4 linked regions of the Canis lupus familiaris genome follow. The protein of the gene in region 1 interacts with the protein of each later gene in a pairwise test. Links are inferred from orthologs where the notes say so. Each region holds a gene or a part of one and is shown on either strand. Other genes may lie near its edges.

What was found. The genes of interacting proteins can lie anywhere in the genome.
Region 2: the proteins of WIPF1 (region 1) and HOMER3 interact in binary tests that used the Homo sapiens proteins (3 or more experiments, as listed by UniProt). The two-hybrid records come from large-scale screens. The link is inferred for Canis lupus familiaris from reciprocal best matches to the Homo sapiens genes WIPF1 and HOMER3.
Region 3: the proteins of WIPF1 (region 1) and FASTK interact in binary tests that used the Homo sapiens proteins (3 or more experiments, as listed by UniProt). The two-hybrid records come from large-scale screens. The link is inferred for Canis lupus familiaris from reciprocal best matches to the Homo sapiens genes WIPF1 and FASTK.
Region 4: the proteins of WIPF1 (region 1) and WWP2 interact in binary tests that used the Homo sapiens proteins (3 or more experiments, as listed by UniProt). The two-hybrid records come from large-scale screens. The link is inferred for Canis lupus familiaris from reciprocal best matches to the Homo sapiens genes WIPF1 and WWP2.

The regions. Positions count from the first base shown.
Region 1 is NC_049257.1:19,016,488-19,020,656, forward strand, and holds the start of WIPF1 (WAS/WASL-interacting protein family member 1), read right to left. Parts: upstream 2,801-4,169; 5' UTR 2,591-2,800; intron 1-2,590. UniProt on the Homo sapiens protein: Plays a role in the reorganization of the actin cytoskeleton. Contributes with NCK1 and GRB2 in the recruitment and activation of WASL.
Region 2 is NC_049241.1:44,587,857-44,591,802, reverse strand, and holds the start of HOMER3 (homer protein homolog 3), read right to left. Parts: upstream 2,801-3,946; 5' UTR 2,665-2,800; intron 2,559-2,664; exon of another isoform or gene 2,029-2,558; intron 1,684-2,028; exon of another isoform or gene 990-1,683; 5' UTR 922-989; coding exon 908-921; intron 829-907; coding exon 672-828; intron 421-671; coding exon 289-420; intron 1-288. UniProt on the Homo sapiens protein: Postsynaptic density scaffolding protein. Binds and cross-links cytoplasmic regions of GRM1, GRM5, ITPR1, DNM3, RYR1, RYR2, SHANK1 and SHANK3.
Region 3 is NC_049237.1:15,854,925-15,859,093, forward strand, and holds the start of FASTK (fas-activated serine/threonine kinase), read right to left. Parts: upstream 2,801-4,169; 5' UTR 2,741-2,800; coding exon 2,659-2,740; intron 1,862-2,658; coding exon 1,439-1,861; intron 946-1,438; coding exon 766-945; intron 665-765; coding exon 525-664; intron 53-524; coding exon 1-52. Other genes in the region: TMUB1 (transmembrane and ubiquitin-like domain-containing protein 1), read right to left, coding at 3,537-3,888. UniProt on the Homo sapiens protein: Phosphorylates the splicing regulator TIA1, thereby promoting the inclusion of FAS exon 6, which leads to an mRNA encoding a pro-apoptotic form of the receptor.
Region 4 is NC_049226.1:80,504,301-80,508,351, forward strand, and holds the start of WWP2 (NEDD4-like E3 ubiquitin-protein ligase WWP2), read right to left. Parts: upstream 2,801-4,051; 5' UTR 2,798-2,800; coding exon 2,728-2,797; intron 1-2,727. UniProt on the Homo sapiens protein: E3 ubiquitin-protein ligase which accepts ubiquitin from an E2 ubiquitin-conjugating enzyme in the form of a thioester and then directly transfers the ubiquitin to targeted substrates.

The sequences.
Region 1 (4,169 bases):
CTGGAGGAGTGAAGGGAGAAGGCAACGTGAATGGCCTGTTACTCCTGCAACGCCTGGCCCTCAGGAGACACCTCTTAAATATTGGTTAAATGGACAAATAAGTGAAGGACTGACTCCCTCCAGCTGGAAGCAATTTCGATCTCCTCTAAATTCCTTGCATCTGATCCGTATCTTTTTTTTTTTTTTTTTACCTTCTTGACCACATTCTGCCTCGCATTCCACTGTTTGAAACCTGTCTCCTCTACCAGAAGGTAAGCGGTCAGAGGCAAACTCCCATCTCTTTCTGAGCAAGGCCTCCCACTCTACCACGGCACAGTACACAGCAGCGACCCCTAGCAGGGACCCTCAATGCCAAATGAGTATCTGGCTGGAGTCCCACTGAGACCTGCTTCCCAGATGTGGGTCCTGGCTATTCTCAAGGCTTATGCCTACCAACCTTCCAACACCTGGCATAACTGTGGACCGCTGGGACACAGTGGCAGAGAGATCTCTGTGTGGAAATTAGGAATTTGGAAGACCTCGTTGGAAGGCAGGTTTCAGGAAGACCATGGCTCTCCGGGAGATGGAATCCTGAATATGAGATACTATAAAAACAAATGGGTTATAGCAAAGAATAAAAGGTGCTTTTCTGCACTGCAGAAAGTATCTACTTCCTAAAATTACAACCAATAGTTAGGAACACCCTGAAATATCAGACAGTGACACAGACCCAGCAATGAATTCTTCCCACAAAAGGACGCTCACCTCTGGCCAGAGCACCTGAGACAGCAAAGTTGAAAGATAAGAGAATACCAACTTCTTTTCACTCACCACTCCTCTCCTTCACCACTTCAGCTCTTTATCGCTCTTTTGTATGGATGCTACACATTGCACGGTGTCTGGGTGGCCCTCTGATGCTTGTGCTGTGCTTCCTGCTGTTCTGAGCTCCCATCACCCCACCTGATCCTCCTTCCATGTGATGGACAAAAAGCAAATATGGCCAACCCCATTTCCTGGATGAGATAAGGAAGTCTCAAGTTCCACGATTTGCCTAAGGGCATAAGAAAGTGGCTGAATTCCCACTAGAGACTTACCTGGTGAAGTGAACAAGCACACGGAAGGAGGCACGCATCTCTCTAATTGGAAGTAATCTCCCTGTCTGTCAACGTCCCAGAATGTGATCTTACCCAGAATGTGATCTTACCTCGCTCACAAACCCTCCTGCTCTACATCACACAAACCTGAAGCTGTTGTTTTGTTTTTTAAGTAGGCTCCCAGCCCAGTGTGGAGACCCACGCAGGGCTAGAACTGCGGACCTCAGGACGGTGGCATCAAGACCTGAGTCAGTATCAAGAGTCACACACTGAACCAAACGAGCCACCCAGGTACCCTGCAAACCCAAAAAAAGTTTATGTGTTTCCCAGGGGAGCCAAAGTGATGGCAGGGTTGGGTAGGTCCCAAGATGATGATGATGGGACTAAAATGTTGAATAACATCTGCAGACTCTAGTCTGCACACCTCCGTGACGGGTCATGGGCTCCTACAGGTGGACAGGGGTTTGGTTCCTGAGAAACTCAACCCTATGGGGACGACAGGCGTAAAAGATACACAGCAAGAGTGGAAGGCCCTGTTGTGAGCACTGTAAGGAGGGGTTAGGATGCAAAATGCTGATGGCCTCCGGGGCTCGCTCTCTCTCATTTCAAAAAGTCACAAGGTGTTTTATGCAAAGTACAAGAAAACCCTCCCGGTAGTTATCTTACCCGTTATAGGAAAAGGCATTTCTGAGCAGGAAAAAAAAGAGCCAATGACTCAAAGTGAAGCTACAGTATTGTTTTGAAATTGCCTTGGGAAACTGGCAAAGGAAAACCGACCCAGGGCGGGCCTGTGTCCGGGGCTCCGCGGCTGCATCGCCCGCAGTCTGGGGCCATCCGGGGCCAGCGGCCGGGGGTGGGGTGACTATGGGGCGGGCAGCAGTGACACGGAACTCTCAGAAAAAGGGACCAAGTGCACCCAGTCACTGCCAACAACTTGAGAGGCTTCCCGAGAACCGAGATAAGGCGTCAGGCCGGAGCCCGTGGCCCCAGAGGGACCCTGCAGGGCCCGAAGACCCAGGCGACCCAGGCGTACCCGCTGTTCATCCCAGAGGGGTGAAGGTCTGCACCCCCGCCCCGGGTTCGGGTCCCCTGGGCTGGTTTCCCTTACGCTTGCAACTTTCTTCGGCGGTTCTGTTCCAGACAGACAAACGCGCGGGCACAAAAAGGCTGCAGCGAGGCTGCCCGGAAAGTTCGGGAAAGGCCCCGGGGTGGGGGCAACAGCGCCCCCGCGGGGAGGGGGTGGCAGCGCCTGGAAGGGCAGCCCCGGGCCCCGAGCCCCGAGCCCCGAACGAGCCGCGGGCTGCAGGCGGGAGCCCCGTTCGGGGAGCCGGGGGGCGGGGACTCCGCGGGGGCACCAGGGGGCACCAGGGGGCACCAGGGGCGCCGCGGCCCCCCGCCCCGCCCCCCCGCCGTCCCGGGGCGCCCCCACCCCGCGGGGAGCCCTGCCCTGCCCTCCCGCCGGCCGCGGGGTCTCCCCGGGGCGCCGCCCCAGCCCCCGGGCCCCGCGCATCCCTTACCGCGCTGCTGCAGCTCCGGGCGGCTCCACGGCCCCGCCGCGCGCCGGGCATTTTTTTTTTTTTTTTTTTTTCTTTCCTCCTGGGAAACTTCTCCCGGGTCGGCAGGGCTGAGCCGGCCCGGCAGGAAAAGCGCTCGGCGCCGGGAGGCTGCGACCATCCGGGAACTTCGCGGAGATGTGAGCCCTCCCCTCGGCTCCCCGGCCTCCCCCCTCCCCTCCCCTCCCCTCCCCCCGCGGCCCCGCCACACGCGGACGCGCCGCCGGCCCTTCGCCCTCGGGCGCCCCGCCCGCCCCGCCCGCCCGGCCGCCGCGGGAGCCCCCGGAGCAGCGGGAGGCTGCGGCCCGCGGGGCTCCGTCCCCCCATCTCCGCCCCCCCCGCCCCTCCCCGGCTCGAGCGTCTGCAGAGGGGTGTGCACCGGGGCCCCTTCCCGCCGCCGGGGCGCCCCCCACCCGAGGGAGAGCCTTTTCCCTTCGCCCTCTATCTCTCTCTCCTCCGTTCTCCAAATTCATCTTAAAGATGAACCTCGGCCTGCAGCGGGGCCCACGGGAGCCCACGTGCATGTGCGCCCCCCGCCCCGCCCCGCCCCGCAGCCCGGGCCTCCCCCCTCCCCGCCCCGCCGCACCCGGGCGCCTCCTGGAGCCTGCAGCGGGGCCCACGGGAGCCCACGGGAGCCCACGTGCATGTGCGCCCCCCCCCGCAGCACCGGCCTCCCGCCCCGCAGCACCCGGGCGCCTCCTGGAGCCTGCAGCGGGGCCCACCGGAGCCCACGGGAGCCCACGTGCATGTGCGCCCCCCCCCGCAGCACCGGCCTCCCGCCCCGCAGCACCCGGGCGCCTCCTGGAGCCTGCAGCGGGGCCCACCGGAGCCCACGGGAGCCCACGTGCATGTGCGCCCCCTCCCCGCCCCGCCGCCCCGGGGCGACTCCTTGAGCAGTTTTGCCTCCCCAGGGATGGTGCCGACAGCCCCCCCTCGTCCTCAGGTACCGCACGGTCCCAGTTTGCAGAAAGCGAGGGGTCTTAGTTCTACTCGGTTGCCAAAGCGGACTCTCTCCTTAGCAGGCTCGCACCGGTGCTGAAAGCCCTGGGGACCCAAAGACAAGGGAACACCGAGACGACACAGATAGTAGAACGTGTGCCTTGGAAAAAACACCTGCAAGGTACGATCCATGCGATACCCATACCCACTCAGTCGAGTTAGAATTCCAAGGCCGGCTGCCCCTTTGAGTAACAGCAGAAAAGGTGGGAATATGTGCCCTAGAGTATTGCTCTCCTAGGCAGAGGAGACGCTTCATCCTGGACTTGAGGCTGTGTCTTCCTGTACCCTTGTCATGTGCACATTTGTATCTTGACATACTCCTAACAGGGGCGACAGCCCTTCTGCAAGAAAGGTTAAGTAATGTGTGTAAAACCTTCCTGTTGGCAAATGTTCCTAAACGTACCCATCTTTTCCTAAGATTTATCATGCAGTTGCTTTTCTTTTGAAGCCGTTTCTATGGTAATATGCGCATGGTTATGTTTTATATCAAACGAGGACAAGTGATTTCATGTATCAATATAGTATTCCAGACTTGAAGAGGTAT
Region 2 (3,946 bases), on another chromosome or scaffold:
AGACAATATTGAAGTCTGAAGACAGCAGAGGGTGGAGGGAGGCAATGATGAAGGTAGTGCTAGGGTGTGTGAGGGAACTCCCAGCTCATCCCAGGCACCCAGAGAAGGGCGGGGTGTGTCCAAAATTGGAGCAGATGGCCAGCAGAGCTGAGACATGAGCCAGGGAACCAGGAAGGGTTGTCTAATTCTCATGCCTATTCTACAGCACCTGCCCAGAGGCCCCCAGGGCCCTAAGAGGAACCCCAGGGCCAGCCCTGTCCTTCCCGCCATGTAATCCTGCAAGCCCACCTGGGTCAGATGCTGCTCAGAAGCAAAGCCAAGGCCATAGACGGTGTTGGCACGACTGTCTGCCCACTGCCCAAACTTCTGGGAGGTTTTGGTAAAGGTCATGTTGGGGGTGACGGTGCTGTTGATGATGGCCTGGGAAGAGGGAAGAGGGGGGAACACAATTCAAGCTTGATGAGACTGACAATAATGAACATGAGACCCCCAGGGTGTCACTTTGTATTAGCTCTTGGGAGGTTCTAGGTGTGAGCCATCTCAAGACAGAGACTGATTTAAGGGCTCCTCCCAACCCCCAGCCCCCAGGCACACAGCAGGGTAATGACTAGACCCAAACCTGCCTCTGAGACCTCAGGAGCCTGCCACCCCCACCCAGGCCCTGCCAGGACCTTGGCACCCCCAATGCTGATGATTCGGTAGACATTTCGGGTGGCATCATAGAAGTAGGAGACCGTGAGTGCGTGCTTGCCCGCGGGGATCCAGTTCCGCTTGGTGGCCGGGTCAATCTGGAACACATGTGCCCGTGTGCTGAAGATGGGCTGCTCCCTGCGTGGGGAGACGGTTCTCAGTGGGGCTAGGCATCCCCCAGGGGGCTCAGGGCCAAGCTGGGGAGGCAGGGGCTCACCTGGCTGTGGACATTGGTCAGGTTGGGTTGGGTGGGCTCCAAGAGGCAGCCAGAGGGATGGCAGGAGCTGCGGGTTCAGCCTCTGGGGGGAGAGAGGGATTGTGAGTGTCTCCCCAGGACAGGCTTAAGGAAACCAAGCGGGTCCAACCTCAGGACCCACCACCAGCCACACCATTCATAGAACCTCAATTAGAAAGGTAAAGGAATCAGCAGATCATTCAGCAAAAACACCCTGTCCCTCTCCTTTGGGAGGAAGCCCCCACACACCCTGAGCAGGAGATGACTCTCCGAGAGGAGCCAGGTGGCCCTGGATCTCCCAGCATAAACTTGTCAGCATGCTGGTTACTGAACCCAGAGTGACACCCCCTCAATACTGGTGCTAGATAGAGAAGGCCAAGGTGAACTCCTACTTGGTATTTTCTGCCACATTCACTCATCACTCCCCAAACCAGGATCTCCATCAAAATGTGGCCATCACCAGATGCCTCCTGGGAGACCAGTTCCTCCTAGATCCCACAGAGGGACCCCTCAGCTTCCACTCTAGGGCAGAGGCACACTTGGAGGCAGAGTCCAAATCCCCAGGGAGCTGCCAGCCTAGTTAAGAAGATGTAGTCAAACAAATTTACCCTGGTACCCACTAACCGATTGCCCATGACCACTCTATCCCAATACCATGCAGGGCTGGGTGGCATCAAGGATTGGGAGATCCCCAGCCCCTCTTGCTGCCTCCAGCCACGACCTCACAGATACCAGGAATGGCTGCCCTGGAGAATTCCTTAACCTCACCTCTGTGCCTCCAAAACCTGCATCTGGGGGATCTGCAGGGGACCAGGAGGGACCTGGGGAAGGGAGGTGGCCAGTGGGGGAAGGGAGGCCCCCCGCGGAGCGGCCTCCCTGGTCAGAGGAGGGTTGCCCCCCCACCCTGTCCTGGGCAGCTGCTGCCCGGGTCACAGGGTCTGAAACCGGAGCCCCTGTGTGGGGGAGGGGCGGCAGCGCTGGCCCGGGTTGGGAGCAAGTCCTGGGTCGAAGCAGGGTTCCAGGGTGCAGGGGTCCCAGAAACCCAGGCCCTGCCGGCCCTGACGGTCCTGCCGCGACTTGCAGCTTTGGGGAAAGTTACTCACCAACTAGTCATGTGCCTCGGTCGCCGCCGGCCGCGGGGCTCCCGGAGGAGGCCCGGACCCCGCCCGGTGCCAGGATCCCCAGTTGCGTGTGGGGGCGAAGCCCCACCCCATGCGCCCCGGGCTGGGGGGCCTGGTATTCAGTAAGGAAAGAATTCCCATCCGCGTCAGAATCGGGGCGCCCAGTGCGCTCCCCGACTTCGGGAAGTGCCACCCTCGACCCGGGAACTTCCGAGATTCGCGCGATGCCCCCCGACTCCGGGTCCAGAACTTCGGGGATCCCTCGCACCACCTCCGACTTCTAAATTCCGGGGACTCCCTGCCAGCTCTCCAGCCCCGGGTCGGTGATTTCGGGATCCTCTCGTGCCGCCTCCCAACCCCAGGCCGGGAACGTCGGGGACAGCGCAGCCTCCTCCAACGCCGGGTCCGGAACTTTGGGAACCCCTCGCCCCGTGCCCTCTCCGACCCCGGCTCCGGAACTTCGGGGCCCCTGCGCCCTCTCAAGCCCTGGAACTTCGGGGCTCCCCGGCCGCCCCCAGCCTCCCGGCCCGGAACTTCGGGGACCCCCGCGCCCTCGCCCCGGCCCTGGCACCTGGGGGCCCCCGCGTCCCCCGCGCAGGCTCGGACAGCCGGGCTCACCCTGCGGGCTCGGCGCCCCGCGAGTGTCCGGGCGCGAGTCGGGTGCTGCCCCGCGGCGCCGACTCCCCGCAGCCGGGCGCCCCGCTCGCTCGCTGGCTCCGGGGCCCGCGCCCTCCGCGCCGCCCTCCGCGCCGCCCGCGCCTTTGTCTGCGCCTCCGCCGCCGCCCGCGCCGCCTCCGGTCCCATCGCGGCCGGTCCCGACGCGGCCGCCGCCCGCCCCGCCTCCCCGGGCCGCCGAGGCCGCCCCGCAGCGCCCCCTGCCGGCCCTCCGCGGCGGGGGGGGGAAGGGAGGGGCGGAAGCCGGGAGCGGGGCGGGACGGGACTCCCTGGGGGCGGGGGGCGGGGTGAAGAGCGGGGAAGAGGGCCGGGGCGGATGGGGACAGAGACCCAGACCCAGAGGCAGAGACATGAGGGAGAGACACAGGAGGCAGACAGATGGAGGATGGGGCTTGATCGTCCTGTCGGGGCGGCCCTGGCCCTCGGGGCACTGCCTGAGGTCATGACCTTCTGCCTTTGATGGGAGTCCCTCTCCACCTGACAGGGATCTAGAGGCCGGGGCTCCTCTATCGCACGGAGCTGGGTGCTTGCACACAGTAGGTGCTCAGTGGGTGTAGCCTGGAAATGAAACAGACACAGGCTGGGCGAAAGCTAGAAGAGGCTGAGAGAGGCAAACAGTAGGCACTTAATGAGACTTGATCAGGGGTGCCCCGTTAGGAATCGTTCCTGCCTGACTCCCCCCCCAGCTCCAATCCCCTGTTGGGGAGAGGCTTCTATCCACCTTGTCTCCCAGGAGAGGAAGGTAACAATGCCAACATGGTCGAATTATCAGTATTGCTATGTTATAGGGTCTCAGAAGCCAGGGTAGAGCGAATATTGGGGCCCAGCTCCCACCAATTGTGCAAATCTCCTGGAGGTCCTCAGGCCTGGGTTTGCCATCACTGGTCAGGGGGAACCCTTCAGGCACTTGCCAGGAGAGGGTCCAACTGGAGATGAGCCAGGATCAGCCTCCCCAGGCCAGGGTCTGCCTGTGGGACCCACTTACTTGGCAGTCCAGTGGCTGCCCTTTCTCTGGACTCCTCCAAAGTCACACAGTGCCATCGGGTTCGTGGACAGAGGCACTGCAGCTCCCTCAAACCGAGGCCTACAGTTCCCTAAAGCCCTAAACCTCATGCTTGAGCTTTCCAACAATCTCAGAGATTTTGCTTTTTGCCTTCTCCGCCCCGTCTCATTTCCCTGTTTTTATTTCTGTTTTCCCCTGACCAGAATCATCTGGGCTGGTAGC
Region 3 (4,169 bases), on another chromosome or scaffold:
CCAGAGGCAAGTAGTTCAGCCGCCCAAAGGGCAGGACCAACTTCTGTACCACCTGTGGAGGAAGAGCAGCCCTTCACCTAGCATGAAACAGTTGATACCCTTCACAAGCTGAACCTCAGGGAGGCTTGGCCTGCAGGCTTGTAATGTCTCTGTAAAGGCAGAGCGATCCCTCTCCCCCGACGTACACACCAGAAGTTTGACAGCACAACCCGTGTCTTGAGCCCCACGTGATTAATCAAACCAATGGAGGAGACATCGCTGTGGGGTCTGGCCCTGAAGACTTAAGAGGAGTGGGCTTAATGAAGCTAAGACAGTGCTAAGTGAGTAGAACTGCAGAGAGCCAGGCATACACACTGGGTAGGTGGATGAGCCAGGAGGGGGTGTGCAAAGATAAAACCCCAGGGGGACAGAGCAGAGGGCCTGGCTGCTTGCTGCAGGAGGCAGCCAATCAAGCTGACAGGGAGCTGGGCTTGACACCGTGGAGGGCTAGGAGACAAGCATGGCAGGGTGGGAGGTAATCCCACCTTGCTGCTGAGCTGGGCTTCCTGGACCACCAGGAAATGGGCAATGGCTTCCAGAAGCTGGGGCTCCCGCAACCGGTGCCGGGCCAGGTGCTGGGCCAGGAGCACCATGACGTGAGGAGTCAGTTCCTCTGGCCTGGCCTCTGTGAAGAACAGCCTATTATGCTGGACCCTCAGTCCAGACACCACCACCGGCCTCCTCTTCAGCCCCTCCCCGCCACCTGCCTTCAGTCCCCTCCAGCACCTGCCAGGCTGCGGATGAGGTGCTGCCGTGGACGCCTCAGGAAATGAGGGCAGCTCAGAGCAGCTTCCAATCTTTGCCCACCGTGCAGGACAGGTTGCAGGGTGGGAGGTGGCTTCGGAGGGAGGCGAAACCTTCTCTCCTGCTCCAGGGCACACATCAGGGGCCCATCTGATGGGAAGCCTGAGAGGGAGAGGGTCAGAGGAGGCAGGCCTGGTAACAGGGAGCTGCTCTGTTCCAGTCATGGGGTTCAGCTGATGAATTCCCAACCTTTCACGTCTCTGTGTTCTGGACTGGATGGGCTATAGTGTAAGTGGAAGCACTGGAGAAGTGTGAAATACCATGTGACTGTGAGGTTATCAGGACAGTCTGCGGGCAAGAACTCAAATAAAGATGGCAAATGAGCTCTCATCTCACGCCAATGGTGACAAACTGTAGTGGCTTTCTAGAGCGCTGTGTAGGAAGGAATCCGGGCTTGGCACCCCTAGCTAAGCTGCAGGGAATGCTGCTCGACTCCTGGTGTCAGCTGTGGATACAAGGGGAGCGGCAGCAAGTGTGCCAAGGTATGCACCAGTCCTGCCAAAGCCCAAGAGGTGAATTCTGTCAGTGATCTTGGGTCTTCTACGCTCTTTCTCTATTCTTCCGTGAACACCCACCCCCCAGACACCCTCCTCACCAAGTAAGACTGCAAGGTGCAGACACACGTGGATGGTGTGAATGTCAAAGGAGGGGCAGTTTCGGATGATGAGCTGACTCAAGTCCTGTAGTGTGGCCTGCTCCACGGGAGGGGGCCGTGGCTGAGACCCCAAGAGCTGACCCAGACGACGAAGTGCCACAGGGTAGTGATGGGCGCGCACCTTGGTGGGGTTCTGGCCCAGCCAACGCAGCAGCTCCCCAGGGCTCCTCGCCTGTTCCAGAAGCCGCTGTAGCCCCTGCACGGGGCCTGCATGGAGGCCTCCTCCAGGAGGCTGGTCCCCCCACTTGCTGGGCCCCAGACAGCAGGGCTGTACTGGCGGGAGCAGCAGCAGGCCAGACAGCCGAGCAGCAGAGGCCTGGGCAGAGAGCAGGAGTCGAAGCATGGAGTTGGGTGATGGAGACCCTGAGGGGCAGCCCAGAAAAGGGGGTGAGCTTTTCTCCAAAGGGGAGAGAAACCGGAAACCAGCCATCAACTCCTGACCTCACTCCCCATTCAGAGGGCCCTGGGGTCAGAACACCCACTCATGTTCGTCCTTCCTCTGTGATTGCTCTAGTCTTCCCCACCCCGCCCCTCTCTGCCTCCTTCCATCCTTTAAAGCAGCACCTTCCATGTCCTCCGCACAGGGATATTTACAGAGCAATTCCACATGCACTATGGATCTCTGATGCTCCGCACGCGCCTCTGAGGTAGGCAGGGCTGGCACTACCTCCATTTCACAGGTGGAGAAACCAAGGCCCAGAGAGGAAAGGGGGGGGGGCGGTAAGCCCGAGGTCACGAGTCGGGTTAGTGGTCGTGCCCAGCCTGGAGCCCAGCTTGCCCTGTCGACACGCCCTCTCGACCACCTCCCCCTCCCGCAGGAGGCGGCAGCGGCAAGGAGGGTGGAACGCGGGCTCGGCAGCGGGGCGGTCCTGGGTTCCATGCTGGGCGCTCCCACTTACCAGCTGCATGACCTTGGACAAGTGGCTTCGTCTCTCTGCCCAAGCCTCCTCGCCCGTGAAACGAGAACGCAGCGCCCAGCTCGCAGGGGGCCCGTGGAGCCCGAGCGCGCGGCTTTGCAATGGCGCGGAGTCGGCGGTGTTAGGGGCCCCCACACCCACCCGGCCCGGCGACGCCCGGCGACGCCCGGAGACCGTGCTCACGGTCGCCAACACCAACTCCCGCCGCCCTCCCGCAGCCCGCCCCGCAGGCGCCACCCCTACATGGCTCCCCAGGCCCCGCGCAGGTCGCTCCCTCAGTCGGTCTCGGGGCCCGGGAGCCGGGCTCCCCCCGCGGCCTCCTCATCGGCAGGCCACCGAGTCCGCCATCTTCCCAGCAACCCCCGGACCGCGGCCCGGACGCCAATCGCGGCTCAGCCCCCGACCAGCACAGACGTGGCTCCCGTCAGGCCCCGCGCGTCCGGGCGCCGCGCGCCCCGCCCCCCGCGTCCGGAAGCTGCGCGCGCCGAGCCGGGGCGGTACCGCGGGCGGGGGGCGGGGCCAAGGGGCCGGGCGCCGAGGCTAGTGCGAAGAGCGAGCGGAAGTCGGCGGCTCGCCGTTGTAAGGCTGTGCACCCGGGAGGGCTCAGTCCCCGCCCAGCACCCCCAGAGGCCCACACACCCAGACACACAGCAGGAGTGAAAACTTCACAGTTATTTAATCTGCACGTGTTCCACAGAATCCCTCTGCCCCTCCCAGCTCCCCTTCCCCAGCGCCCCGCAGTCCTTGGGTCCTCCAACCAGCCCAAGGAGCTATCAGGGACTAGAGGTGGCTGGGTCCTCGGGCAGGACACTAAGAAGGGCCCAGGGGTGTAGCCCGGCTCTGCGGGGGGCCAAGGCAGTGACAGCAGCTGCCTGACCCCGAGGAGCTGACTGTCAATGGGGGCTGAGAGCCAGCAGCCCCAGGACGTGGCCCAGAGCCATGGAGGTCACAGGGAGGGGCGTCGGCGGACTCCCGGAGCGCTCTGCTGCGCAGGGCTGGGCTCCAGGGTAGTGGGAAGAGGCAGGCCGGAGAGGTGGGCCTGGGCAGACAGCATCGCCCACTGTGTCGAGGGGAGCAAGGTCCAGAGGGGCCAGCAACGCTGCCGAGAGCCCGTGGAGGCACTACGGGCGGTACATGGCAAAGGCCAGGAGACTGAGGAGCAGGGTGAAGCCGGCCAGACCCAGAGTGGCGGTCAGGGGAAAGAAGGGCCGGTACTGGATCTGGCAGTACCAGAGCAGCAGCAGCAGCAGAAGCAGAAGGGGCAGCAGCAGGCTGCCTATTTCCAGCCCGGAGGGGCCTGGCTCTGACCCCGGTGGGCAAGGGGGGTGTGGGGGACCGACTCGCGTGGACACGTGGCAGTGGAGAACGCAGTTGGGCGGGAGGTGAAGGCTGCCCAGGGTCTGGGTGTCGTCTCCTAGCAGCTGCCCTTGGTAGATGAGCCGCACCTGCTGTTCCCGGCCAGGAAACTGGGTCCTGAGGAGAGAGGGACCTGGGTAAGAGAGCAGGCCTCAGGCAATCCTGGTCCCTTGCCCAGAACCACACTCCCACCCCTCACCCTTGTCTCCACCCACCACCCAGCTGGTGGCCTCTAAAGAGGGGGAGTCCCCCCTGCCATAGGGGAATGATACAGTGTGTGATGTGAGGGCCTCAGTTCCCCCTCATCTATAGAAGGAGGGGGGAGTCTCAGATCTCTCTGGTGGCCCTTCTGGTCTGTGGTCACTCCCACCCCACTCTCAAGAATGTCTTTCCTGTCC
Region 4 (4,051 bases), on another chromosome or scaffold:
ACAATCATATCCCCTTTGATGTACTTAGAAGGGACACACAAGAAACTGATATATTGGGGATCCCTGGGTGGCTCAGTGGTTTAGAGCCTGCCTTTGGCCCAGCGTGTGATCCTGAAGTCCCGAATCAAGTCCCATGTTGGGCTCCCTGCATGGAGCTTGCTTCTCCCTCTGCCTGTGTCTCTGCCTCTTTCTCTTTCTGTGTGTCTCTCATGAATAAATAAATAAAATCTTTAAAAAAAAAAAAAAAAAGAAAAGAAAGAAAGAAAAGAAACTGGTATATTAGTTTCCTCCAAGGACGAGCACTGAGGAGCTGGAGGGAAGGAAACAATCTTAAGGCTGATAAACAGATAAAAGAAATGAGTAACATTTATATTTCAGAAATCATAATTTAAAAAATGATGAGACACAAAGGGTTGCAGAAGGGGAAGCAGGCAGGGGGTTGGGGTGACTGGGTGACGGGGACTGAGGAGAGCACTTGATGGGATGAGCACTGGTTGTTATACTATACGTTGACAAATCAAACTTCAATAAAAACAAATAATTTTTTTTAAAAAAACAACTAAAAATAAAATAAATTAAATTAAATTAAAAAATAATGAGACAATTTTGCCTCCAAATGACCGTGTATCTGAGCTCTGATACTCAGCACTGTTCCCCAAGCATCTCTCAGTTCCATGACTCCACTAAGGAGTCAGTTCCATGACTCCAGAGCTAAGGCCACCAAAGCAACCTGTCATTCAAGGAATATTCACTGACAGCCCACTATGTATCCAGTACTATTCTGTGTCACTGGGTTTTCAAAAGTAATGAAAATAGAGAAAAATTCCTATTTTTGTGTTTACATTCTACTGAAGGAGACAGTCAATAAAGGAAATACATAAAAATATGTACTGTGTTGGGACGCCTGGGTGGCTCAGTCACTAGAGCCTCCAACTCCTGATTTTTGGCTCAGATTGTGCTTTCAGGGTCATGAAGTTGAGCCCCTAGTAGGGCTCTGCATTGGGCTCAGTCTGCTCGTCCCTCTCTCTGCTCCTTCCCCAACTTGTGCAGTTTCTCTCTCTCTCTCTCTCTCTCAAATAATCTTAAAAAATACATATGTGTGCTGTGTTAAATGGTGACAAGCCTAAGAAGACAAATATAAAGTAGTGAAGGGGATAGACATGAGGAAGTGGGGTGTGGGGGAGGCTACAGAGGGATCAGGGAGGCCTGGCTGAAGAGGGTGACTTTTGAGTAAAGACCTAAAGAGAGTAAGGAAGCAAACCAGGTAATCGTCTGGCCCCAAAGCATTCCACTCGAAGGGAACAGCAAGTGCAAAGGCTCAGAGGTGGGAGTGTGCCCAGTATAGTCCCTGAAGAGCAAAGAGGCCATGTGGCTACAGCAGGGTCTAGGTAGAAGAGTAACAGGAAATGAGAAATGGGAGTGATGGGTGGGGTCCCATCATGTGGGACCTTTAGCTTTTATTGGGTGAGATGGAGAGCCAGTTGTCAACATGTTTAAGCCCTTGACATGCCTGCTATGTGACCCACAGAATGAAGTAGGGCAAAGGACAGAAGCAGGGAGACTACTGCCTTCATCAAGGGTAGAGATGAAGGCAGCTCATGGGATGGTGGGGGTGGTGAGAAGAGGTTGAACGACAGTTGCATTCCGAAGACAGACAGACATGGCCAGGTTCACAGCTGGCTGAGCGTAGGATATGATAAAGGAAAACCAGGAGCTTACATGGCTACTAAACATTCAAGTGGAATGACAAGTGGGCTACTAGAGATACAAAATCTGGAAATCTATCAATGGAAAGGCCCAGGCTAGAGACATAATTTTGGCAGTAGTGACCTTATTATTGGTGGCATTTAAAGCCATGAGGTTGGGGGGCACCTGCATGGTGTGGCCAGTTAAGTATCTGACTCTGGATTTCAGCTCAGGTCCTGAGATCAGGTAGCTGGGCTTCTGCTAAGCACGAGCCTGTCAAAGTTTCTCTCTCCCTCTGCCCTTCCCCACTGTGTGTGCTCACTCTCTCAAATAAATAAATAAAGTCATGAGGTTGGATGAGATTAACCTAGGGAATGAGTATCGATAGGAAAGGGTTCTGGGGCATCACAGAATCACCATTTTCAACAATTTTTGCCAAAAGTTCCTTTTATCGTTCTTCTTTAAGAATTCTAGCTATAGGGGATCGCTGGGTGGCTCAGCAGTTTGGCGCCTGCCTTTGGCCCAGGGCGCGATCCTGCAGTCCCGGGATTGAGTCCCGCATCAGGCTCCTGGCATGGAGCCTGTTTCTCCCTCCTGTGTCTCTGCCTCTCTCTCTATCATAAATAAATAAATAAATCTTTAAAAAAAAAAAAAAAAAAGGAATTCTAGCTATAGGGCAGCCCTGGTGGCCCAGCAGTTTAGTGCCACCGTCAGCCCGGGGTGTGATCCTGGAGACCCAGGATCGAGTCCCATGTCAGGCTCCCTTCATGGAGCCTGCTTCTCCCTCTGCCTGTGTCTCTGCCTCTCTCTCTCTCTCTGTGTCTCTCATGAATAAATAAATAAAATATTTTTTAAAAAGGAAGAAAGAAAGAAAAAATAGAATTCTAGTTACAACATGGTCACCCTATGAGAATAAATAGTTCACATTCCTAAGCTGTTTCACAGTGTTTGGCTCTCACACCCAGGTGGGCATACCCCTGCCTTTTCCTCAAAGATTGGGCTGGGCCTCAAATAGTAAACATTTCACATGTTGCCACTCACCTTTCAAAGTCAGCTGAGACTTCTCAAAAGGCAGGGCCACTCCTGGCCGGCTGGAGCTAGCAGATGCCATGTCATCACCAGAAAACTGCAAGATGAGCAACAGTAGGTTTAGAGGATACCTGGAAAGAAATTAAAGAACTGCACCCAACTTTCATATTTGAGTTGAAAGAGATGAACCAAGAAAATATAAACATCCAAGCAACTTCTGTCAGGGTGGAGGCTGTCTGTCTTATAATGACTCCTGAGCCTAGATGGGTCTCTGCTCAACTAGGAAGGGCGCACGATGTCACCATTTACAGGAGAGAGCCTAATATAACACTCTCAAAAAGAAAGTCACAGTTCAACAGTTAAAAAAAAAAAAAATCCAGTTTCATAAATCAACAAAGGATATACACAGAGGGGTGCCTGGGTGGCTCAGTTGAGTAAGCAACAGACTCTAGACTTAGGCTCAGGTCATGATCTCAGGGTTGTGAGATCAAGCCCTGAGTCGGGCTCCACACTGAGTATAGAAACCTGCTTGGGATCCTCTCTCTCTCCCTCTCCCTCTGCCCCCCCCCCCACTATTGTGTGCATACTCTCTCTGTACAATAAATAAAAAGAAATAAATAAGTAAATAATAAATAAAAAGATATACAAATGGCCAATGAGCCTATTCTTGACATCATTAGCCATCAGGCATCCAGGTCACTCGTCTTGGCCAGAAGCCTTGCGTTTTGAATAGATCTTTTACTCATATAACAATTTTGTGACATTATCCTTTGTCATCTGAAAAATATTGGTTCACTGAGCTATGCAGATACTCCAAATGTTGACATTTCATTATACACTATCAAAAAAAAGCACATTTGTGAATGTCACCACTGATCTTCTCAAACAGATCTTTAAGCATTGGGAAACTGTCAAGTTCTTAGTGGCAGATATAAGCGTTCCAAAATTCTTTTTTTTTTTTCCAAAATTCTGATTTTCACTTTAAAAACTCATATTTTATCATTGGCAACAAATACTGTCAGTTGTTTTCCTTCAAGTGACAGGCTCACTTCATTCATCTTGAAGAGTGTCTGCCAAATACCCAAATCTAGTAACTTCAGTTTGTTCGTGTTTTTTTTTTTTAAGCAAAAAGATTATTTCATAAAAAAGCAATTCAGCTCTCAATTCAAAACTCACACAAGTGCTTTTTCTCAAGACAATCATTATTTCAGTATGCAGAAGTGCCTGCCCTAGGCATATTTCCCATTTCATCACAAAGAATATTTAAAAAGACATGTACAAGAGTCAAGGCTTAATAAAATTAATCATTTTCACTGTTTCATCTAGCATTTTCTTA